Linked DNA regions of Mytilus edulis. The protein of the gene in region 2 purifies or fractionates together with the protein of the main gene of each other region. This does not show direct contact. Links are inferred from orthologs where the notes say so. Each region holds a gene or a part of one and is shown on either strand. Other genes may lie near its edges.

What was found.
Region 1: the proteins of cyclin-dependent kinase 20-like (region 2) and peptidyl-prolyl cis-trans isomerase FKBP8-like purify together in Homo sapiens (affinity purification with mass spectrometry; 5 studies listed by BioGRID and IntAct, with this or other methods). This does not show direct contact. The link is inferred for Mytilus edulis from reciprocal best matches to the Homo sapiens genes CDK20 and FKBP8.

The regions. Positions count from the first base shown.
Region 1 is NC_092347.1:90,561,815-90,574,935, reverse strand, and holds the start of peptidyl-prolyl cis-trans isomerase FKBP8-like, read right to left. Parts: upstream 5,029-13,121; 5' UTR 4,916-5,028; coding exon 4,915-4,915; intron 364-4,914; coding exon 1-363. Other genes in the region: U11/U12 small nuclear ribonucleoprotein 35 kDa protein-like, read left to right, coding at 5,270-5,272, 12,019-13,121. UniProt on the Homo sapiens protein: Constitutively inactive PPiase, which becomes active when bound to calmodulin and calcium. Seems to act as a chaperone for BCL2, targets it to the mitochondria and modulates its phosphorylation state.
Region 2 is NC_092344.1:102,308,334-102,321,005, forward strand, and holds the start of cyclin-dependent kinase 20-like, read right to left. Parts: upstream 6,103-12,672; 5' UTR 6,005-6,102; intron 4,837-6,004; exon of another isoform or gene 4,765-4,836; intron 4,400-4,764; exon of another isoform or gene 4,379-4,399; intron 4,180-4,378; exon of another isoform or gene 4,168-4,179; 5' UTR 4,161-4,167; coding exon 4,086-4,160; intron 736-4,085; coding exon 662-735; intron 115-661; coding exon 75-114; intron 1-74. Other genes in the region: uncharacterized protein, read left to right, coding at 6,264-6,362, 6,892-7,029, 7,884-8,033, 8,665-8,859, 9,927-10,395, 12,100-12,672. UniProt on the Homo sapiens protein: Required for high-level Shh responses in the developing neural tube.

The DNA.
Region 1 (13,121 bases), on a different chromosome or scaffold from region 2:
TTACATATGTAGCTATATTTTTAGAAAAATCTTTCACGATTCCATCCGATATGTCATCGGCAATGTCTTCTACGATTTCATTAGGCACACTTTTACTCTGAATGGTGTCAGTTTTATCTTGACTAGAATTTATGGAATCACTTTTATTTGTTTGTTCTGATATATTAACACTATCTGTTATTACCCCTGTTTGAATGTTTGTGTCCCCTGTTTTATCTGGAAAGCCATTGACCTGTTTATTAGACACATGGGCTTGACTGTCACTTGCAGTTATAGATTCATCCACATTCAAATTTAATTTTGCTAGCTGTTGTTTTCTTTGCTCCTCTGTGATGGCATTAGTATTTTGGTCACTATCAGACACTAAAATTATATATAAATAATTAAAAATGAAATACTCAGTTCAGATAATCTAGAATTTTGCAAGAGTCTTATCTTCAAGATCAATTAATTCACCAAAAGCAACAGCAATTTACAGTTTGATTAAGAATGGTGGGGAAAAATAGTTCTTTATAATAGGCAACAATGTAACAGCCACTATCTTCCGTAATTACTTTGTTCTGGCAGAACTTTTCAACTAGTTATTTTGTTTCGATGTCACTTTACAAACTGGTTGTTTTATTCCGAGTGCAGCAGAAAAGTTCTGGAAAAAAGTAGCCAGTTGAAAAGTCCCGGGACAATGGCAGAACAGAACAACTAGTTACATCATTCCGAATATACCATATTTCGTCCTTTTTGTAGAAAGAGGGAGAAGAATGAGTTTCACTATAAATAAGAGTAAATCATTAATTTACAAGAATACCCAACGCACTGAAAGGGGTTTCTTTGGGGGACAAAAATGAAAAAAGGGGAATGGAACCTTATTTTTGGGGAAATAATGAAAATGTATTTAAATTTTGATGTACTAAGGGGGAAGAACAAACTCACCCAGCAAAATTTAAGTTGTATTTCATAGCTCACATAAAACGTAATAAGTTGCATTATCATGCAAATTTAGTATTCATAGTACCCTCAAGAGAGGGAAGAATACCCCCTCCTCATGTGGGTCTTTGCATCAATTCTCAAAATGGAATTTTGTGACTAGTTGATAAGTTCTGTTGGAACTTTTGGGCTAGTTTGTTAGTTCTGGTTTTGACTAATTTGGCAAAAAGTAACTTTCTAACTAGTTGATATGTTCTGTTGGAACTTTTCAACTAATCATCACTATGTTCCGAAAAAAATCAGACGTTTTAGCGCCAAAGTAGAACCCATTTTAGCGAAAAACTTTAATAGACTCAAGACATCACAATATAAAACATATGATGTCCATTAAAATACAGCACTAAATGTCTCAAAGATTTAATCAAATGTTACAAGTTCGTTCTAGCCTGGAATTTATGTCCTAGAGAACGTACGTAATGGGCTCTGGATATACCCCCCATACAATACTGTTGAATTGCATTAGAAACTGTTCTTTCTCTTTATCTTGTCTAGATTTTGATGCACATTCGTCTATACTTCGTGTTTTTGTATATGTTGTTTGCAATTTGAAAATAGTATCAAGAAAAACGTAAATAGCTGGATGACAACTATAACATTGCTCATTATAATGGTCATGGAACGACTCTGGACCACTATTTGTTCCCTTTAAAATACAATGAACTTCTGCCCAAAGCTTAGTGAGTTACTAATATTCAACCAGGTAAGTTTTCCCTAAAACGGGCTATCGAAATATACAGGTGAACGAATTAATCTAATGCAAAAATGGGCTCTAGTGTTGTCGCTCAAATGTCCCCTAGTACATGTAGCTATTTTTTTTCTCCCTAAAATGTCCTGCGCCTGACTAAATACTAAATGCTTAAAGAGAGCTTAAACACTAAAAACTAAAAGGAGATTTCTGACATGTGCACTAAGCCATATATAGCTGTTTGTACAATGATGTACAATTTGTATTATTATTGATTGAGTTTTCATGGCTAATGTACACGTGTACAGGCTACATGTATATCAAATACAACATAAACATTTTTTGATAAAATAAGAAATTTGAAGGATTATTTGAATTTGTAAAAAATATAACTAATATTTTTTACAAATTAAAATAATCCTTCAAAAATGTTTATATTGTATTTGATATACTACACTGTACTATATTTTTTACAAATTAAAATAATCCTTCAAATTTCTTATTTCATCAAAAAATGTTTATATTGTATTTGATATACATGTAGCCTGTAATAAATGACCAAAATGTACCTGTAAAACAGAAACTATATTATTGATTGACAAGTCCAAATAATCCATTGATGACCTGATTACCACTTATCATGTAACAAAAGAGGCTTTATATTCACTATATGTGTGAAATATATTCATAACAGGTGCATGGTAGACTGTAAAGAGTTGTTAATGATAATGAATTATTTAGTTAGCTCTCCGTTGTCTCTCTAATCATTTTATTCTTCACAATAATTATAAGGCAGCAACCATTTGATTTTCTGGGGGGGGGGGGGGGGGGGGGGGGGCTATGGATTTTTTTGGAAAGAAGTCTGTTTCCAGTTTTTGGAGAAAAAAATAATTTGTTTTTTACTTTGAGAAAAAAAAATGTTTGTTTCACCCTCAGCTGCCACTATACATGTATGTAATGCTAAAATTGAAAGAATAATGTTTTCGACTTGTCGCCAAAATAAGGCTGAAAAAATCCATAGCCCCCTCAAAAAATCAAATGGTTGCTGCCTAAGGCCTTGTTTAGCGTTTTTTAACCTATGACCTGCATAATACATTGTAATATCTAGAGGTTAATGATGTCTTAATAATTTAATATTCTTTTTTCAATTTAACTAGAACACACCCAAGAAATCGCATTTAGAGCATATGTAATCTGTTGAAGGATAATTTTTTGTAAAAAAAATTGTACCTGGAAAATTACAGGAAAGGTTTCATTAGTCATAGGTACATTGTACTTGAGAACAGGACAATTATTTTTTTTAGCCCTTCCCCTTTTTTCCAGACCATTTTTTGTTGTTTTTCTGTATATAATGAACACATACTATAACATGTACAAAAATGTAGTACGGGTAAACATGTATAAATGGTGGAAAGTAAACAACAGTATTGGAATTGATAGTAAATAGCAAATACACTTTATTTATACTATATATCATGTATGTATGATCACAGTATACAGAAAAACTCTAAAATAATTGTACTGTCCCAAAGTACTTAAAATCTAGTCTAAAACAATATCTGGACACCTTTATCATGTTTATTTTCCTCCCAAAATAACCCAAACTGAATAATCATAAGCAAGGATGATAAATAAATGATAAATGAGACTATGCATTGTACCTATATATCATGCCTATAGGACACAAAGGCATGATGATTAATTTATTGTGGAAGGAAGAGAAGCAACACACAAAATGAGGTCTTCTCATTTAATAGTATAAATATATATCTGGGTTTCTGTTGTTCTAAACAAAATATTTTTAAATGCATTTCATGAACAACACCTTTGTCTGCTTACTGCCTTTAAGTTGGGTTGTTGTCTCTTTGACATATTCCCCATTTCCATTCTCAATTCTATTACTGTTTGTGTGTGTATAAGTGCATGTTTTTATTGTAAAATTAATGTTAAATTACACATGGTGATGATATTTCGTATGATTTAAAAACTAAAAGTTTACATGTCATGTGTTTTATCATGTTTATTAGAGACAAAACCCCCATACATAGGTATTGAGAGTAGACACTGTTTTGTGTAAGATACTGTCCATTCTATGAAGGAACCCTTAGCCTATGAAATATGGTCCTTTCTTTGAAGGACACTTTTCACATCTGAGGACAAGATATCATCCTGACAAAATTTCATAATAACAGTGGACACAATTCTGTGAAATAGTGTCTGGTGGACATACTTTCATGGCGAAAATATCTAACTTTACAAATGAATTGATTGATTTCACTTGTATGTGCCAGTAGCATGAGTAGTAGATGCTCTCTGCATCATTATTATGAAAATACTCAGATAAAGCTGCAACCTCTGGATTCAACTTTCTTTGCCAAAGAAGACATTCCTAACCAATATTCAAAAGTACATTAAAAAAGTCATTATAGACATGATAGAACAAAATTTACTTTTTCTTCTTCCAATACAGTGCAGTCCTCTAATTGAGTATTATCGCACTATTGCCCATGCTGGGTGTGACAACAAAGGTGCAAGAAAATATTTACAGGTGCAAGTTAAAAACAGTCTGATGGTGCGATTAAGGGATACTACAGCTCAGTACCCCCTGCTTGAAAGCATCTAGTTAGGTACTATCCACCAAAGGTTGTGGAAGGCCATATCTGTATGCTGTCTGGAAAGAAGGAATGCCTGTATGTTGAAGTTCTGGCATACGGTACAAGAAATAGTGTTGTGTGTCCTCTAGCTATGGATGTTGTATACACCTTATCGCTATTTGTCCGCCATTGCTGGAAATCACACAGGTTCCCGTAAAATTTTGACGTCATAAAACAAAATGTCTGACGCCACAATGGAAAAGTGATTGTTGTTGACGTCAAAAGTTCAAGCGGACGGGTCAGCCGGGAATAGCGATAAGGTGTATTGTGTAGCTCTAGCGGTGGTATTGCTACGTACTTTATATTGATAATTTCATCAGAAAAATTTCAAGACAAGTATTGTAATGTTAAGTATGTGGTATGAAAATAGAAAATTTTAATATTCATTGCAAAAAAAAAAAACATTTTTTTTTAATTAAAAATCCTGCAGTCTGTACCTAAGCCAGTGTTTGATACCGGTCTGTAAATCATGCTGTCAAAAACTAAAAAGGTCAAACATGCACACTCTGAACATCAAATGATCAAATTCGTAGCAATTATCAATCTACAGTTAACTTTTCGTAACTGATGTATTTTATCATCTCATCTACCTACTTTCTTGTTACTGGAATGTTTAAGTGACAGTTAGAAAAACAAATTGCAAATAAAAATACGGAAAGATTATCAACTTTCACTTCTGAATGTTTTTTACGACATACTATTACCGGTGCATGTTGAATAAAAACAATGATTTTAATTAAAAAAAATAGCAGATTCCATGATTAATATATGATATTTAATATACCATATATTGATAAAGTAAATAAAATGCAAATATTTTTTTTTAATTAGATTCCCATACACGACAACCGCAAATAGTGTATACGACTGGTTACTTTGAGAAAAAAACCAGACCCATCAAAACCTTCTTATCTTTTAGAGTTGAGTAAGCAAACTTATCAACATTTTTATGGTAATTAAATCAACACCTAAAATGCTGGTTTATACAACTTAAAAAAAGCTGTTGTTTAGTCATGATATGAATTTGTAGCCGCAAAAAAAAAATTCCATGAACTAGCTGTACTGTCTGGTACCCATATGATAATGTTATCTGCTATTGTTGGACACAGAATACAGGACACTAAAGGTGTCATACCACCAATTAAAAGTCCCTATCTGTTCAACCAAATTTTGCAATTTTCACAGCTTTCTAAATATTTTACCTTAAGTTTAACTTCATAGAAACTAGGTATATCCTGAATTGTACAGGTGTCACCTTTCTTCATGCCAATTTTCAACATAACGTAACGGTACCCAAATTGCACCAAGTACCCAAATTGCACCTATTTAGCAAAACTAGCAGCGAAAATCTTACAAGATTTTCTAGAGACTAAACAATTTGTTTTTTTATGATTTGATACTAAGCACATCTTTCAACATAGGTAAAACTATTTAGATATGCACAAAACGTTCACAGTATCTATCAACAGATGAAGTATTTACTGAAAAAGCAAAATGTACTGAAACGTCACCATGCGACGTCATCAAAACGTCATCTTTTTAAAATGAGCAAATACAATATGTTACAAGTATCCATTTAAAAAATAATGAAGAGTAAGCATGGACTAATATCCAATTGTTCAAAATATTTAAAGAAATTAAACAAAAGCTCTGTTATTAGACTTTTGACGATGCGAATTTAAGCATGGAAGCAATTTGGGTACTCCTAATTTCAGAATCATTGATGGTTTGGAGGTCAGTTTAGACCAATTTTTCTATGATTCCATATGAAATAAAAATCAAATTGGTGTACCTTTATAATAAAGAAGGATAGGGCTACAAAATAAACACAGACTGGACATTTTTGTCTTCATCATAAAAAAACGTAGATGAAAAAACTGTCAAAATAGGTGCAATTTGGGTACCGTCACGTTACATTCAAAATCATATAAGAAAGCAGAGAGCTTCCGAAAGGAGGTACCACTAAAAATAACCCCTGGTTTTCTGGAAATCTTAAATTAGTATACTATGGAGCGCATTAATCCTCAATTTTTAATGCAAACTCATAGACAGGTAAATTTTGGCTCAAAATGGTCTTAATATATTTCTCTTTGAACAAAACTTTCATTTCTGCAAATTTGTTGGTTAGTTTAGGTGAACAATGACATCAAATGCACTTTTTTTTGTCCGAGTAGGCCTACTTTCACATACGTTCTAAATTTGAGGGAGTAATTGGTGGTATGACACCTAAATCAATATACATTATTCAAACAGGGATCATCACAACCTAATAATTAAGTGTGGCAGTGCAACAAGCTAAAACTACAAACGCTAAGTTAAAATTACCCACGCCATGCTTATTTTCTTGTCTGCACATTTGAAAATTCAATATATATTAGGGATCTCCATGGCCTGTTTAAAGTCATGGCTCCCCACCATCGTTTAAATATCCTGTGCCTCGCCATTGTTCTAATATCTTGCGCCATCATTAAATTGTCTTGCGCCATCATCAAATAACCTGCGCCATCATTAAATTGTCTTCCGCCATCGTTCAAAACTGTAATCTTTTTTTATAGCTCAACACCATTTTTTGAGATTCACTTGATGTTGAGTATCGAGTTGCGAGTAAAGAGTTACTACAGTCGAAATGCGATTTAGGAAAGTCGAGTTGCCAGTTAAGAAAGTCGAGTTGCAAGTCACAAATGAGTTAAGAAATTCGAGTTACGAGTTAAGAAAGTCGAGTTACGAGTTAAGAAAGTCGATTTTCAAGTTACAGAAGTCGAGTTGTGTGTTAAGAAAGTCGAGTTGCGAGTTAAGAAAGTCGAGTTTCGAGTTATTAAAGTCGAGTTGTGAGTTAGGAAAGTCGAGTTGCGTCAAAATGTGCTAACGAAACTCAGTGATTTATATTTATTTGGAATGATGATGGCTTATAGAATTGTATACAGTATTGTTGATTATTTTTGTTGTTTGGACTTCATCTGAGTCTCTTGTAAAAATAAAATGGATTGCTTACATATAAATCATACGTATCGTATTTTCTGAAGAAGCAGATAGCCTTTTGAAATACAGCGGATGGCTTGCAGTTTAATTATTATTAAATTTCATAGCTAGCACCGTCATATTAAACATAAAGGGAGATAGCAACCAAACTTTAATACATAAATGTAAAATAACCCTTCAGTTCTGCAGATTTCGTATAGAGTGAGCTTTATGGGGCAGCTCCAGAGCCGGGCAATTTTTTTCGTTAGGGACCGCAAAATTTATTCTTTGGCAGTGACACTCAATATTGTGGACGTTAAAATTATATACATTGTATGTCTACATCGGCTAGAGATGAAGGTGCTCAGTCAGGAACCTTAATAGTTAGCCTTTGTTACTCTTGCATATTTTTAAAAATTTTGGTTTATCTTTATATTTAGGAGCATAGAATGGGGTCCATATTCTTGATGTAATGAACATTGTGTTTCTGGGCCTGCTCAGGGCTCCCTCTAGGTGGGTGATCCTCGCTGTGTTGAAAACCTAATGGCCTTTGGTTGAATTGTATATTTTGGTTGGGTTGCTGTTGAAATGTTATTCTAATAAGTCACATACATTTAATTCAAGACAGGACCTGAACTATAAAATCATTACAATTAACATTATTATTGTTATTACAATGTACATATATTCATTTACATTTCGTCTAACATCTCGATATGTAATAATATAGTTTCCTAAATATTTAAGTACAGACAAATTTTCATTAGTAAATAACCAAACAAATTTTGTCTCATTTGAGAGATAGGAAAAATTAGTACAGAGACTGTAAAATATCTCCCTTCAGATCATCTTTGTACATGCTGGACAACTTGTAATGAAATGTTATTCATCTTCAACTAGATTTAGAGTACATTTCTTACAAAGCCTTTAAAGTCTTATTATATAAAGTTTTATATCAGTCTCTTTCTATTTTGAGATCATGGCCACTGATTCTGATTTTACATATGACACTTCATTTTAAAATTGTTTTAAAGATGCATGTAGGTACATTTCTTTAGAAAAACATTTTTTCAATTTGAAATAAGTATCTAATTTATAACTCTTTGTACCTTTTTTTTTTGTACCAAAATATAACAAAGTTTTTGCTTAACCAATGGCGGACCCAGAAATTTTCATAAGTGGGGGTCCACTGACTGCCTAAGAGGGGACCCGCTCCAGTCATACTTCAGTGATTCTCTATATAATAAACCAAATTTTTTGCAAAAAAGGGGGGGAGCAGGGCCCCCTGAAAACCCCTCTAAATCCGCCTCTGTTAACTGACTTGAGAAAAAAGTAAAGCTTTACTTCCAAATTATGAATATTCAGCTTTTTAAAAATTTAATCCATACGAAATTCCAATGAGCAAACTATTTTCTCCATTATTTTGCAGTGTGTTATAGTCCACGCGAGATGCCGAATTTCCTTTACTATTCTATTTTTAGGATTATTTGTTTACCAAATATACGGTAATAAGGTAATTTATGGTCAGACTGGTTCTTTTTATCCTTTTTATGTTGTAGTGTAAACGCACTGGAATAAATAAGATCGATCTCGTCCTTTAAGGAAACATTATTTTTTTTCAAATACTTCCAGAACTTAACTTTTACTAGACTCTTATAAATAAGTATCACATATACCTCATTCAAATTCTGCAATCACGGGAATAACTTAGTTCGGATACATGCATGCTTTGTTTATCAAGTGTGAATCAAACCTGAAAATTAGGTGTCAAAGATATTTTTGTAACTCACAACTCTACTTTCCTAACTCGCAACTCGACTTTCCTAACTCGCAACTCGACTTTCCTAACTCGCAACTCGACTTTCCTAACTCGCAACTCGACTTTCATAACTTGCAACTCGACTTTCTTAACTCGCAACTCGACTTTCCTAACTTGCAACTCGACTTTCTTAACTCATAAATTGCAACTCGACGATAAGAAACCTTTCCATTTTTTTAGCAATTATAATCAAATGCATGTAATTGCATAACCCTTAGGCTTTTTTATATTATAATCCAATACAGTTCAAACGCCTGAGGGATATCTAGATAAAGATAATTAATTACTTGTACCCGAGCTTGTACAGGTAGATCAACAAACCACACAGGAGAATACTATCTGAAATGTCTGAAGAAAGACGATTCGTTTATCAAGTTATTCACCTAAGTTTCAGAAAAAGCTTATAATAATTTAGACTATAAAAAATAAATTAATAATCCAGTTACAAAGAAAACAGTTTAACAAGTCGAACATGTGCTTTTATTTGGAGTTTACGCAATCAGCATCCCCCTTTTTTAAGAAGTACAAAATAAGATGTAAAACATTAATATTATTTCATCTCAAATAATTTGAGTACTGCTGTAACGATCTTATAGAATTACTTTAAAAGTTAAAAAGTAAAAACTTAAGTATTTACTGTGAAGAAATATCGTATCGCAATTCCGATTCATTTCCTAATTTACAATCAAATTGATACATCCGTGTTTCCAGTTTATATTCAGACTCGAAAGATGCATGTTGCATAGCATCAATTTGCTAGATAAAGTCATTAAAAACCTTTTCATTTGTCAATGTTTGCTTTTTAAATCTCTTCAACCTTTTACATAACCGAAAGAATTGTTTTGTTGTTGCTGCAAATCAGCCATACTGGTAATGGATTCATGAGTCATGAATCATGACTTCTGAATTTGACAGTTCCCGTGAAAAATAAGCTCCACATGATTTTTAACCCCCATAACAAGTACCAAAAAATAGCAAGAAAACTACATGGGGACCTTCATGACAGCTTTTGGTCATTCTCGACTAAGAGGGGACTATGAAGGCTTGGCATTTGAATAGTTACAAACGGTAATTAATGAAAATTTTGATACTTGTATAATGAAAATTCAAGTAAATATAATTTACCGTAGATCATGGTAGATAAGTAAATGAATTAGCATGTTCACCATTCCTGACATGGAGGGATGAAATACTTTCGATCACGCTACACTGTATGGCGTAGACACGGTTTGTGATTGTGAAAGTTCCTCCATCGTTCAATTTTCATTCATGGAGATCCCTGAGATATTGAAGTTAAATTTCAGTTATCTCTAATCCAATTATCATGTCAGTGGCAATTAAGACCAATACAGCGCAGACAAAGACCTATATATTCAACAATATTTAACCATTTTGAACTGCATTTTCGATAGTCCAAATAATTATGACATCTTGAAAGGCTATTATATTTTTTTCTTTGACGCCTTACGTCGCAGAAAGGCGTCAAAGCAAAAATTTAAAATAGCCTTCCAAGTTATCATATTATTTGGACTACATTTTCAAAAGAAAAATTGGTCATTAATTTTATTGATTATAATTTGAAAATAGAAATAACCTCTTATCTAATTTTAAAAAACTGTTTTTAGTGGTTAAATCATATCTAATTTTGGAGAACTATTTCTATTTATTCAGTTTAAGTTATTTCCCTTTGAACTGAAAATTAATAATTAATGAATAAAATTAAAATGTGTTTCATTTCAACATAAATTCCATAATAATTAATTATATAGTTTTCTTTCAAATGCAGAATCTAAACCAGTTTTCAAGTTGGTTTAAATCAGGGTCCAAAATTAAACTTTGATAAACATGTACTTTTGGATCATAATGGGTGAATGTTTAATTTCAATTTTTTTCCTCGACTTTGGCAAAAACAGTTAACAAAAAATGCAAAAATGCTGATAACAGTACTAGTTAACAAACAGGGTTGAAAACAGTTAACAGCTTAAATTGATCTCAGATAACAGTTAACAACACCTTGAAAAGGGCCAAAACAGGTTAATATAAAAAGGTATTGGCCCCCCCCCCCCCTTCTCATTCATTTTGTGTCACAAACCTATTGCTGTGTCAAATATTCAATCACAATCCAAATTCAGAGCTGTTTAAGTTTTCAGCTTACTAGTAAATGATTATGTAGTGTCAATACTTGCTCAACCGTCAACCTCTGTAGAAAATCTGGTTTACTGTCACTCTGACAGCCTCTACTTCATAAGTGAGTTGAGTTGGTAAACCAGAGTGGGGCAATTTTGTGAAAAGGTGGGGGGTATTTGATGTGAGAAGATTTTGGAGAGGGGCAAGCTGTCTTGCATCCTTCATTTACACACATGTACATTATGTGATATAATTCATTGTAATCACAAGGTCTCAGTGATTGTTGACAAAGGTGTTGGAGAATTCAGAAGAGAATAATCCTTCCAGTGTATGCCTTGTAAAACTGGAAAATGATCTCATTATTGTGTTTTTACCATTAAATTTTGAAGTTTAAGAAAACAATTATTGATAACTTTACAAATTTGCATCCTGTGTAATATAATCATGATAATAATTAAAAAAAAAGTGTACATCAAAATGTTGTGAATGGGTAAAAATGATCCAAACAGTGGAAATTCAATTGCAACCAATGACAAGAAGTTATTTTCATCTTGTGGTAGGAACAAAAATGATGGAACAATTAAAGTGTCATTAGATTCTAAAACAGCATATTCTTATCTGCATTCATAGGGTGTGCAATGTGCATATTCTCAGGACTGATGGTAAGATGACAAAGGACAACAAAATACTGTTCACTCAGTGCCTTTAACCTTTGCAAGTGTATATTTATAGTAGTCTTTGGGAAAAATTCATTGAAAATTTAAATAATAAAATATATTTACTTTTTTTTACAGATTAAAAACTTTAATGAAATAATGGATAACTGGTCTGCAATTGCAAAAGTCTATGATCCGTTGAAAGCAGGAAGTATTGATGCCACAGATACAGAACCACATGACCATGGCATCATCAGAGCAATGGCAGCTAAATACAAACCAAATAAAGATGTAATAGGTGATCCAGAGAAAACAATATTCATAGCTCGTCTTAATCCAAAAACAGACGAAACAACAATCCAAAAAGTTTATTCTGGATATGGGGTTATCAAGCAATTTAGATTAGTACGTGATATTATAACAGGATATTCTAGGTGTTATGCTTTTGTTGAATATTATGATCATAAAGAGGCTGAGGATGCTGTTTGGAGGGGACATAAGCAAGAAATTGATGGTTCTGAAGTTTTTGTTGATTATGAATGTGAACGAGTACTCAAAGGATGGGTACCTAGAAGACTTGGGGGAGGCTTTGGTGGGAAAAAAGAATCAGGACAATTAAGATTTGGGGGCAGAGATAGACCATTTCGTAAACCTATTTATAATAAAATGATAGCTCTTAAAAATGTTAATAATGACCATTATGATAATGCATGGGATGATAAAAGTAGTGAGCATGATGCAGATGGTCATGAGAATTATAGAGGCATAAACAGGGTACGTTCTGATCGATCAAATCCACAATATTATGAGAACTTAAATAAATTTAAGACGTCTGAAAAAATTCAAAGTTATAGAGAAAGACAGCAAAGTAAGTACAGTTTCACAGATAGAAGCAGAGAAAGACATCAGACAAGAGATAGATCTAAGGAAAGAGACCAACGATACAGTAGATATGACAAAAGTAGTCGGGATACAAGTCTACATCAGTCAAAACATTCAAGAGAGACTGCAGGGGAAAGAAGGGAAAGTAATAGAGACAGAGATAGAATCAGGAGCAGTGATGGACCAAGAGATAGAATTGGAGATGATAGATCCAGGGATAGAAGTAGGGATAGATCTGGCGAGAGAAGGGGAGATAATAGATCCAGGGATAGAAGTAGGGATAGATCTGGTGAGAGAAGAAAAGATACTAGATCCAGGGATAGAAGTAGGGATAGATCTGATGAGAGAAGGGGAGATAA
Region 2 (12,672 bases):
CAGCAAAACCTATATCTTACAAGTTATAAAACTCTATATAGTTTGTTTAAAATTTTCTCAAGTATCTTACTTACATATGGATTATCCTCTATTTCTTGTAAAGCTTTAATTTCCCTAAAAGATTTAAACATATTCAGTCAATGAATCAGAAAAAATAGAAATCATAAAATACAAAGCATCAAGTATCAAAGAAACACAAATGTATTGTTTATTTTATTATTTTTTTTGAAATACTGAAATTCAAAGTTCTCCTATCAAAAAGATTACTGAAGAACTTTTAGTGGGAAATCAAAACTAATCGAGGGTTAGAAAATGAAAAGAGTTTAGGTGTTTATGTTAAAAACAGTATTCTTTCTACCAAAATATTATATAAAGCGTGTAAAATTGCTATAATAAATTTTAAGCAACTTCAGCTTTGATTGTTTAATTGCAAATCCATCATGAATTTCTGTTGGATTTACTGCTAAAGATTCTCAATACAAAGAGGGTATCAAATTATTTCAGTTAGTCCAATATTATTGTTATCATGCCTATCATATGAAAAATCAAGACATAAAAATATAATTTTCTGCATTTCTCTCAATATTTTTGAAAGTTTATATACAGTAACAAAACAATATTTATTTTATATTCTGTTCTAAAATGAAAAACACACAAGTACCTCAGTGCTGTATTTGGAATGCCATCTTCAAGTTTTCTGAGTGGAACTTTTTTCAAGGCAACAACTTCACCACTCTATAAAATGTACATGTTTATCAGATATAACAATACGAAATATGTATCACCCAAATTCAATAAACCATTACTCAAATTACAATGAATAAATGTATACAAAAACATATTTTTTCACAAAAATATTTCCATGCTTGCCATTCTAGTTTTATATTATTGTCCATCAGTGTAACAATAGATGACCTGTCAAAAAAAACTAAAGACATCTTACAGAGTTGTCTAGTCAAAGCAGCTTAGTTATTTTTATTTTTTTTAGATGGAGTTTTGGTCTCATGACTGGAGAATTTCAATCAACATGTTATCAATGGGTTTTTTTCTGTGTTCATTTTGATAGTGAAACTAAATATTTCCCATTTTTTGTATGTTAAGATCATTAACATAAATTTATTCTATTAGTACGATAGATGAAGAACTTTTGTATTTACCATATTAAAAATTATGATTTCATAGATTTGAACACCTTGTGGATTTAAAAAAAGATGGAAGAAAAAATGAGCTTTCAAACATCCATCCCCTATACATACAGTTTAATTGGTGAACAAAATAGTTCATTACCATGTCCATTAATTTTGTAATTCGTTGGTGGTAAAAACTGCAAGGTTCTAGTGTATACAAGTTTAATATCAACTTTTCTCAGAGTAATAAGTCAAATAATAGCACCCCAGAAAGTTTTAGCATAACTGAGTTGTTATTGCATTTAATTTTGATGGTGAAAATAAACATCTTATAAATTATTTAGAATTTTTAGAAGTGTATCTTTTCAATACATACTTTTTGGTTTGTCCTTAAAAAGTTAAAAATTATTAAAGGAACAGTCTTATCATTATTATATAACTTAACATGTAGTTTTTTTTTATCCATATTTTCATGTAAAAACATTATTTAATGGAGCAGAATTTAAAAAACATTGTTAATGAAAAAACAAAGAGAGTATTAAACCTGAAACTTATACTACTAAATGTGTTTGAAATACACACAAAGGACAGAAGACTTGAGAAAATAAAAGATTTTAATTCCCCCAGGAAAAATTGCATGTATGTGTAACCGGAGAGCATGTATCTACTCTACAAATTCATATCGTCACCACCGAGATTCAACCCCGGTTGCCTGCGTGACAGTCAGTGCGTTAACCCACTGAGCCAAAGAATCGATTCCCTAGTTCAGTTGATTAAGACTGGCTTTATATGTTCTACCTGTACTAAGGAGGGGAAGCAATCCCGCTACACTATTCCCCCACCACGAGAGTCATAGTCATATATAAACAACACAAACCCTAGCTATACTCCAGTTAACCATCGTGGATTGTTTAGTTGGGCGCCAAATGTACGGAGATCATGTATCTACTCTACAAATTCATATCGTCACCACCAAGATTCGAATCCTGGTCGCCTGGGTGACAGTGAGTGCATTAACCCACGGAGCCAAAGAATCGATTCCCTAGCTCAGTTGATTAAGACTGGCCTTAAATGTTCTACCTCAGTAACCTGTACTAAGGAGGGGAAGCAACCACGCTACATATATAACATAAACCCATAAACAATCTAAACTACTACGAGCTGGTGCACCAGTACTCAACAAACACATAACAACATTAATAAATAACACCATAGAATCCAGTGAGTTTCCCCAACAGACTCAAAGAAGCTCAGGTTGTACCATTACATAAAAAGAATGATCCACTGGATAAAAAGAACTATAGACCTGTGAGCATTTTACCAACAATTTCAAAAGTCTATGAAATGGTTATGTCTGACCAGTTAACTGAATTTTTTGAGAACATATTTCATGCTTTTTTATGTGCATTCAGAAAAGGTCATGGATGTCAGACAACTTTGCTGAGACTCCTTGAGGATTGGAAAACAGCTTTGGATAATAATATGTATGTGGCAGCTATTCTTATGGATCTTTCGAAAGCTTTTGACTGTTTACCTCATGATATTCTTTTAAGCAAATTATCTGCCTACGGTCTTTCTTCTAAATCAGTGAAATTACTTCAAAATTATCTTACAGATCGTAGGCAACAAATCAAACTTCAGGGAGTACTCAGCAGTTGGGCTGACATCCAGAAAGGGGTACCCCAAGGCTCAATCCTGGGGCCCCTATTATTTAATATTTTTATAAACGACATATTTTATTTTATTGAACATGGTACCTTGTATAATTATGCAGATGACAATACTCTGTCTTATGCTGACAATGATTTTGATAATTTATTATGTACACTCGAAAGAGAAAGTGCTGTTTTAATTGACTGGTTCAGATTTAATTGTATGCAGGCAAATCCTGACAAATTCCAAGCCATTGCAGTTGGAAATAAAACATTTGCAAAAAAGCCTGTTTTTAATATACAGTCAGCAAAAATATCCTGTGATGAGATTGTCAAACTTTTGGGTATTGATATTGACTATCAACTTAATTTCAATCACCACATTAAAAATATTTGTCGTAAAGCATCCCAACAACTGAATGTTTTAAAGCGCATTGGCTGCTACCTTACTAAATTGAATAAACTGACAATTTTCCACACATTTATTTTATCTAATTTTAATTTTTGTCCTTTGGCATGGCATTTTTGCAACAAAAATAACACCACCAAATTGGAAAAAATTCAGGAAAGGGCTTAACGATTTATATATGAAGACTATGTTAGTTCATATGATGAACTACTTTTACGAGCAAAGGTTCCATCACTGAAAATAAGACGTATGCGTAACATGGCTATTGAGTGTTTTAAAATTTTATATAAATTGTCACAACCATGCTTACATGATTTAGTTGTTTTGAAAGACTGTAAATATAATTTTAGATATTCTAATATTGTAGATATACCTAGGGTCAGAACAACAACCTATGGTAAGAACTCTTTTAAATACACAGCTGCTGTTTTATGGAATGATCTACCTGATGATTTTAGAAAAATTGCTAATTTTAGTCAGTTCAAAAATATTTTAAAGTCATGGAATGGAAATGACTGTAAGTGCACAGTTTGTGCAGACTTTTAGTTTATATATTATGAAAATTTATTTACCATCTAGATCATATCCCATTTTTTTTTTTTTTTTTTTTTTTTATGCTAAGCATTTTTACCAGCTTTTATGCCTAGTTTACACTTATATGCTTTTAGCCTTAATACCTAGCTTATGCTTATATTCTGCTTTTAGTGCTTCATTTTTGTGCTGTGATATTTAATGCATGTGTACTATATTATAATGTATTATATTGTTATAAATGTTGTACTGTTAAATAATGTCTCATATGTCGGTTAAAAGCTCATTAGAGCTTATGTTTGTCTATGTTTTATATACCATGCCGACTCTAAATAAAGCTTATTTATTTATTTATTTATAACAAACCTCTATATGTTTGGCTTTAAGGACAATGCCATGAGCGCCTTCTCCTATCCTTCCCAATATTGTATACTGTTCCATTACCAATCTATAAAGATAACTAATATGTACCGAATGTTGAATGAACTTAAAACTAAAACCAAACTGTAATATGGTGCAGTCCGATGCAACTGCCCATCTAAGACTTATGACTTCTCTTAATTAAAAACTGATAAAACAAATAATCGGATAAAATCGTGAGAACAAATTCACAACATACTTTTATTTCATAAAATATTCTATATAAATACGGTTTTAACCTTAAAATTTTGTGTAATATGAATATAGAATAGAATAGAATAGAATATTTTTTATTACCAAATTAGGGCCCCAGGAGGGCATATGATACAGACAATATTATTATAAACAATAACATATGCAATACACACACAGTAAAAGATATGTAACAAGTGTTATAAAAATGATAAAATAAAATAATATAACACAGAAAATACACTCAACAAAATAGTAGCAATGTATTATTATTCAATGAATACTATGTGTATAAATATGTGTCCAAAATAAGGAAAACCCCTGTGGCAGTGGAATACAATTAAACCATTTTTTCTGTACAATTCTAACTGTTTGAATGATATTCAGTTTGGGTACAATATGCTTTTTATGTCGATTAATTTGTAAAAAATACTTTGTTGTTGTCAGGAAAGCATTTTTTTGGTCTAAATATGGTTTCTTTTGAAAAGAACGAAGACAAAGGGACATAACTAATATCTAAATTTGTTTAGTCCACGTTCGTCCCACACCATTTCGCCCCTTCGATGTTATCATAAAAAATATACACTTGGAACAAAGTTTTCTTCTTGTGATCAATACACCTATATTATAATTAGAAAACAGAATGGTGATATTGAAAAGAATTTTGTTAAAATGATATATAAATTGAATAAGTGATTAATTAAGTGGATAGATTACTATACTGCAGATCCAGATATACCAACCTAACATGTAGTCACTCAAGTTGTGCTACTCTCCTTGAGTAGTAATAAAACTGGAAATAAGAACTTCATATCCATAAAAAGTTTTTTAGTGTTCCGAATTTTTTTGGAACAATGATCAGTATTAGAACACTGAGGGCGGATCCAAAAGGGGGGGGGGGTCCGGGGTTTGAACCCCTTTTTTGGACGATCAATGCAGTTGAATGGGGACATTTGGCTGGAACACACACACCCCTTTATCCTGGGTTGGAACCTCCTTTTTAAAATGGCTGGATCCGCTTCTGATTAGATTGTTTCATGTCAAGTTCATCATGTGATAGAATCATGCGAAAAAAAACTGACTGTGTGCTTGTACCATCCATTTGTGTTAAGCAGTTCATAAAACAACATATACTCTAAATCTTTATCATTGTACAGAGCTACTGTGATAGAAAGAAATGCGATGAGAATTGTGAATCTGATACTGGAAATGTCAAACTGATAAAATAGGGTTTAAAACAAAATTTGAAAAATCTTTTACAACCGTAAATTTTGTCATCATTAATTTATTAAATACAGGCTTGCTTTTTCCAATTAAGAACCGGCAATACGAAGGCTCGTGCAGCCACACGATGGATTAAGTGTAAAGACGCCACAAACAGTCTGGGAAATATGTGACAATTGCATCAAATATGCATACATAATATCACGAAAATGTAAAACCACAAGTTATTATGCATACCAAGATCTTACTGCGGTGATAAATTGATCATAATTTATTCTTTAATAATGGGTTTATTCAGAGGTGCAACGAGTTTACACGGATAGTGTCTAAGTTGATAGGCTTTTAAACAACATTACTGTCAAAATTAGGATGTAATATCTGGTTAGAATTGAATCTTTGAATATATGAAAGAATACATTAAAAGTTCTAAGTAATATATGATAACGTACTCCCTATCTCTTTAACAAATGCTTTTTTCCCATTGAAGAATCTGATTTTATAACATCAGTTGTAGATCAGCACTATTGCATCTACCTACACCCAACTAAATTATAAAGATAATCGAAGATGTGGTACTACGCCAATGAGACAACTCTCCACAAGAGACCAATGACACAGGCGCTAACAACTAAGCTATTATGACGTTACGTTACCATTCGATATCGGCGTATCTCGAAAATGGAGTGAAAAGGATCTTCTTGTGTTATAATGACAACTGTATCCTTAATAGAATACAATCCAGACAATGGACCCCTCCATTCACCATCAACTTCAACTAAAGGGTTAGACAAGACAAAAGTTGCTAAGGTAGATATGAATGTTTTATTCAAAGAATATCTAAAAAGATATTAACGAAGCCAAATTACATTCGATTGTATAAACGCTCTTCAAAGATGATTAATGTTACCAAAGAAGATCGTGAAGTAAGTAATTCATCACGTGTTGAACTTAGACAATTGTTTTCTGTGAAAACTTAAAAGTAATATAGGTTTTAACAAATGTATCTTTTACGTTAACTTTGATTTTGGTAGTTCAACACTGCTTTTTGTTCTCGCCGCGACATTGGGCACTGACGCAGCTTACAACCAGTCCATTATGATCCACTATCCACCAATGATTAATAACAAAAACAACTATAAAGCCTAGCGCCCCCCCCCCCCCCCCCCCCAAGAAAAACCCCATACGAATTTACAACTGGATAGGTGTATAATAAGAATAAGCCACACAAAACAAAAATGTATTATAAAACTCCAACGTCGACGTACCAGATGACCTATCTCGAACTCCTTTGTATGTATAGCTCCTGTCATTTATTTGTTTTTACTCCCCCTTTTAGATAGGTAGTTTGACAGCGGGCAACCGAAGCAGGGAAGGCAGCTGTGATGTCAAGGAAATACAAGGGCTATCCCTTTTAAATACAGAGCTGACACACACACTTAAAAGTCGAACTGGAATACGTAGAAAACCGAGAGAGGTACGTGCAATATCTAAAGAAAAGAATGTGTTATAATAATCCGTGGTATTGTATCTCACTCGAATGATGTGGACAACTTTAATCTAGTGCGTAATCACCATTAGGTACTGTTGAAACCAAAATTTTAAAATGAAACACTTAGAAGAAGAAGAAAAAAAAAACAATTAGATAATCAACCACATATTGCTTATAGCTTCTAAGAAAACTCTGACAGTTGAAGATTTCACTTTAAAAAAAAAATCAATCTTTACTAAAATTCACAACATGACAACATCATGTGTATAGTGCCGGTTTGATAATTTGCAAATTTTTAGTAATTTTCGCAAACATGAATAAAAAAAAATCTCAAACAAAAACCCAAATTCCATTGAGAGAAAACTTTTGCCAGCCGCTATGTTGTTCTTAGTTCAAAAACATATTCAGTTTAATGTTTGACAAGGTTTTGTTCCAATATTGTAACAAAACCGTCTTCGACAACGATGTAAAGCGATGAAAAGCATTTTCTTTTTATGAAAATTTGTACAATCTATAATTTGTATTGTTGCGACTTTTCTATACACATTCCAGGTTTTACCTTTTTTTTAATTTGGAGTCTGCGATTGACAGAAATTCAGTGGAAACTGGACCTACCTCTTTCTTATAGTTATATGAGTTGTAATACTAGTTATTTTATATGTCCTTTTTCTTAGTTCATTAATGATAAATATCAGGTATACCTATACCAGATATGCCGCCACTGAGTGGTGTTGATACATTGATTTGTTGCAAAGAGAATGGAAAAAGAAATTACCAATTAATTTCATGAATATAAAAACACAAAGCAGACCTACATAATATTCATTTTTTATGTTAAGATTGATCTTCTTCCACAAAGACCATCAACTACCCAGTATTATCAGCACACGTTTTATGATCCTGCATGCGCCAAAGATGATATACAAACAGGACCACTGAGTGTCAATGGAGAAAAACTGGACGCTCTATCCAACCTGCAGTTCCGTCTGGTAATATTTCAAAAATGCAATTACATAAGAAATTGTCAAAAATGTATATAAAAAACGTCTAGATATATATATTAGTCAACGATCCATCCTTCTTACGAGGACGTTGGGTCGTTTGTACATAATCTAACTGATATGTACGCCTAATAGTATACAAAACATCATAAACATGATGATTATTGAACTCTATGAATCAGATATAACAATCTGAAATATAGAATTGCACCTCTTCAGGAAAAGTTGACCTCAGGCAAGTTATGCAAATTGTGTACATCTTTGACCGTAAGTTTTCTAACTTTTGGCTTTGAATGTTTAAAGTGGGTCGACTTGTATCCCCGAAAATGACACGAGTAGCTTTGATTGTATTTGCTTAACCATACTGTTTGAACACAACTAAGAACACTGTATGTGAAAAAAAATCATAATTAAATTCTACCTGCACATGCAGGAACATTTGCTTCTGAGAGATAATGGTCATCATGGGGTCATACTTTGTACATCTAGCAATAGATGGCCCCGACATGACAAAATGTAAACAATTAAAAAATGAAAAACCTTTTGTTAATGGTATTAACTCTTAAAAAATGAATTACAGTAATTGCATTTCTACATTCTTTGTTGATTTTTATTGCAGCCAAGTACGCCACTAGTACATAGACGGCAGTATTACATCAGCCAATCATTTAGCAGTACAACTTGTAGTGAATGCAGCCAATGTGGTGGAAGATCGTCTCCCGATAACCCACCGTCATCTCCCATTCGAGAAACGTCTTATTTGAAGTTGGATGGTAAAAAAATGTCATGTCCTGATTTCAGATCTAAATCTGAGGTAAATATTTTTAATGTTATCTGCGTTCCAGCTAAAACATAGATTCAAAGATCGTTGACAAAAGATTAAAAACACAAATATCAGAAATGTCACTGAGAATTTCAAAATCTTACATGCTTGACTTTTATTTAATAGAAATATAAGAATCATGTAAAATATCATGAATTGTTGGCGTTTAAAGCCACTTTCAGTGATATTGGCTATATCGTGGCAATTAGTTTTTATTGGTAGGGAGGTTGGAGAGAACCAACGACCTTCTGCATGAAACTTGAACTGAAAATCCTGATCAATTAAGGTTGATGTCAAACACTGCTAAGACCACTCTCATACCGATTGAGGCCTCCCTAAAAAGATAAAGTTTCATTTTATATTACAAAATATCGAAACATAAGGAATATCTTCATCATATTAGCCAAAACAAAACTTCAATAGAAATCTTCTGGAGCGTCTAGCTGGTATCATTTGAGAGCATTTTTATTGTGTAAACTTTAGACGCCTTACCGTTCATCGTCGGTCTTCTGTTTCTAGTAATTTGTCTTGTTCGCGTATTTTCCTCTTATTTGTAAATATGTATTTCACTTTTTCCTCACTAGGTTTGTTATGTTCTATATAATACTAAAATATGAATATAAGGGCAGTTAAATAACGATAGAAAAATAGTCTTAATAATTATCCAGTATAAGTACATGTAGTAATAAAGTGTAGATACAGGTAGAATGTGAAGTCTATATTTCGCTTCAAGTGGTAAGCTAGCGTTAAACTAAGAAACTTCAGTCTTTAAAAACTTCTTTAACTAATGCTTACGTCATACATTTCATTCTGGTATCAAGCCTATGTTATCAAAATACTACATTTTCGTAGAAGTTCAGTTTAGAATTCATAACGAGGGTGCAAATTAATATTTGAAAAGAAATATTTCTTTCTATTATCGGCAATGTGAAAAATATTCACTTCACGCATTATTAATAAAAAATATCCACGTACAAATTAATCTAGCTTCGTAGGTGCCGGTGGCCATGAACTAGCGTCACCACAAAATGCATGTCACCGGTTGTTTGACTTTGTAGTTGAAAGATTTCAAACCCGGATTATTAAAGAAAACGTCGTATTGCTGTGTCAAGTGTGAGGGTAGAATGATAAGCCACGACACGTTGATGATGGAATCGGAAAGTCCTTTCCAGTCTTATTTCCGCCAGCCAGCAACTTATGCAGAAACCCTGCCATATGACAACATACAACCACTACACCCAGACAAGAGCTTGGAAACTTGTGAAGAACTGATTATTGACCAGCCTCTAGAAGACAGTTTTCTAAAAGACGATATGTTTACTTTACCAGAATTACCACACCCTATAGCCAATGTAGAAGTAATATCTAGGGATGTATTAGAACGCTGTAAAGGCGGTCAAAGATCAAGGCTCAGCCCGAGATACCTTCATCACAATCAAAATAGAATGAGGTCTGATGAAAATGAAGAACTGTCAAGTTCAACTTGCATTATATCCAAACAGATATTCCACAGTTCTAACAAAACAGGTATTTCACAGTTCTAACAAAAGAGGTATCTTTTACATTCAGGTAGACGTTCAAATTAATGTACAACTATCTGTTTATCTTTTAAACAAATTTATTGTCATATCTTTGTATGCTTTAAAGATAAAGATACACAGCGACATAAACATAAAAAAACCAACTGAAGCTGTCAAATTCAGAGAAAATTGTTTTCAATTTAAAGGCGTTTACTTTTAAGGTTGTTTGACCTGCCACGTTCTTTGTGTATTTTCCAATATATCAAGGACCATATAAATTTAACCTCATTTTGCCATTAGAAACAAACACTAAAACCACATAAATAAAGGCAACAGTAGTATACCGCTGTTCAAAAATCATAAATCGATAGAGAAAACACTTCAGGGTTACAAACTAAAACCGAGGGAAACACATCAACTATAAGAGAAAGACAACGGAACAGAAAAAACTGAAGAGAAACAAAAATCAAACGCCAACATACAGCGAAACGGACTATTTGATAACAACTGCCATAAGTGGCATTTTCCAAACTAAGTCTTCCTAGGACCATAATCATAAAAAGACACAAAAAGCTATTTCAAAATCAACCCCTGCACGGTAAAAGTGAAAATCATCAATATCAAACTTGATTTCCATTTTTTCATCTTCAACATCATATTAACTAGAGGCTCTAAAGAGTCTGTGTCGCTCACCTTGGTCATTGTGCATATTAAACAAAGGACACAGATGGATTAATGACTAAATTGTGTTTTGGTGATGGTGATGTGTTTGTAGATCTTATTTTACTGAACATTCTTGCTGCTTATAATTATCTCTGTCTATAATGAACTCGGCCCAGTAGTTACAGTGGAAAATATTTTGTAAAAATTTACAAAAATTTACAAAATTTATGAAAATTGTTAAATATTGACTATAAAGGGCCATAACTCCTTAAGGGGTCAATCGACCATTTTGATCATGTTGACTTATTTGTAGGTCTTACTTACTTTGCTGTACATTATTGCTGTTTACAGTTTATCTCTCTATCTATAATAATATTCAAGATAATAACCAAAAACGGCACAATTTCCTTAAAATTACCAATTCAGGGGCAGCAACCTAACAACGGGTAGTCCGATTCATCTGAAAATCTCAGGGCAGATAGATCTTGACCTGATAAACAATTTTACTCATGTCAGATTTGCTCTAAATGCTTTGGTGTCAGATATATAATCCAAAATCTACATTTTACCCCTATGTTCTATTTTTAGTCATGGCGGCCATCTTCGTTTGTTGGCCGGGTCACCGGACACATTTTTTAAAATAGATACCCTAATGATGATTGTGGCAAAGTTTGGCTAAATTTGGTCCAGTAGTTTCAGAGGAGAAGATTTTTGTAAAAGTTAACAGACGACGACGATGACGGACGACGGACGCAAAGTGATGAGAAAAGCTCACTCGGCCCTTTGGGCCAGGTGAGCTAAAAATGTGGTTGAACGGTTCAAAAGATATTGCATGGAAACTGTTGTCAGCATCTGCCTTTGAAGTCCTAAATTTGAATGATTTATTTTTGAAGATTTATAGGACTCAAAATGAATTATACATTAGATAATAACTAAAATATTGGTTTATGTCTAATGATGATATGATTGCTTATTAAATGTTGTAGCATCTTTGTCAGTATACAAATCTGATATTTGTAATGCAATATATACAACTTTTTGTCTTAAGAAATTATAAACGAAGAAACAACAAGCCAACAACTTAGAGTTTCTACCAACGAAACTAATGCAATTCACCAAAACTCTGCAGAAAGTAAAGAAAAAGATACAAAAAAACGTGCTGTTGATGGGATAATTAATCTACTTTGGCCAAACCACCAACCATGTAAAAAGTACTTACATTCACCTATCCCTTTGTGGGAGCGACCAAACATCCAACCATGTGACAAGGACTTACATTCACCTGTTCCTACGTGGGAGCGGCTAAATCACCAACCATGTGAAAAGTACACACATTTAGCTTTCCCTTCGAGAGAGCGGCCGAATTACAAACCATGTGAAAAGTGCTCACATTTACCTGTCATTTCGATAGAGAAAGCCTCATCAATGTCAACCAGTGATCTAATGCAACAAAGTGAAGAAGCAGAAGCACCACCATCTCCTGGTTTAGAACAAAGTGAAGTAGCAGAAGCACCACCATCACCTGATTTAACACAAATTGAACTAACAGAAACAACACCACTTGCCGACTTAGGTTCTCCATATAACTCAAACACGGATATGCAGATTAGAATACATTTAG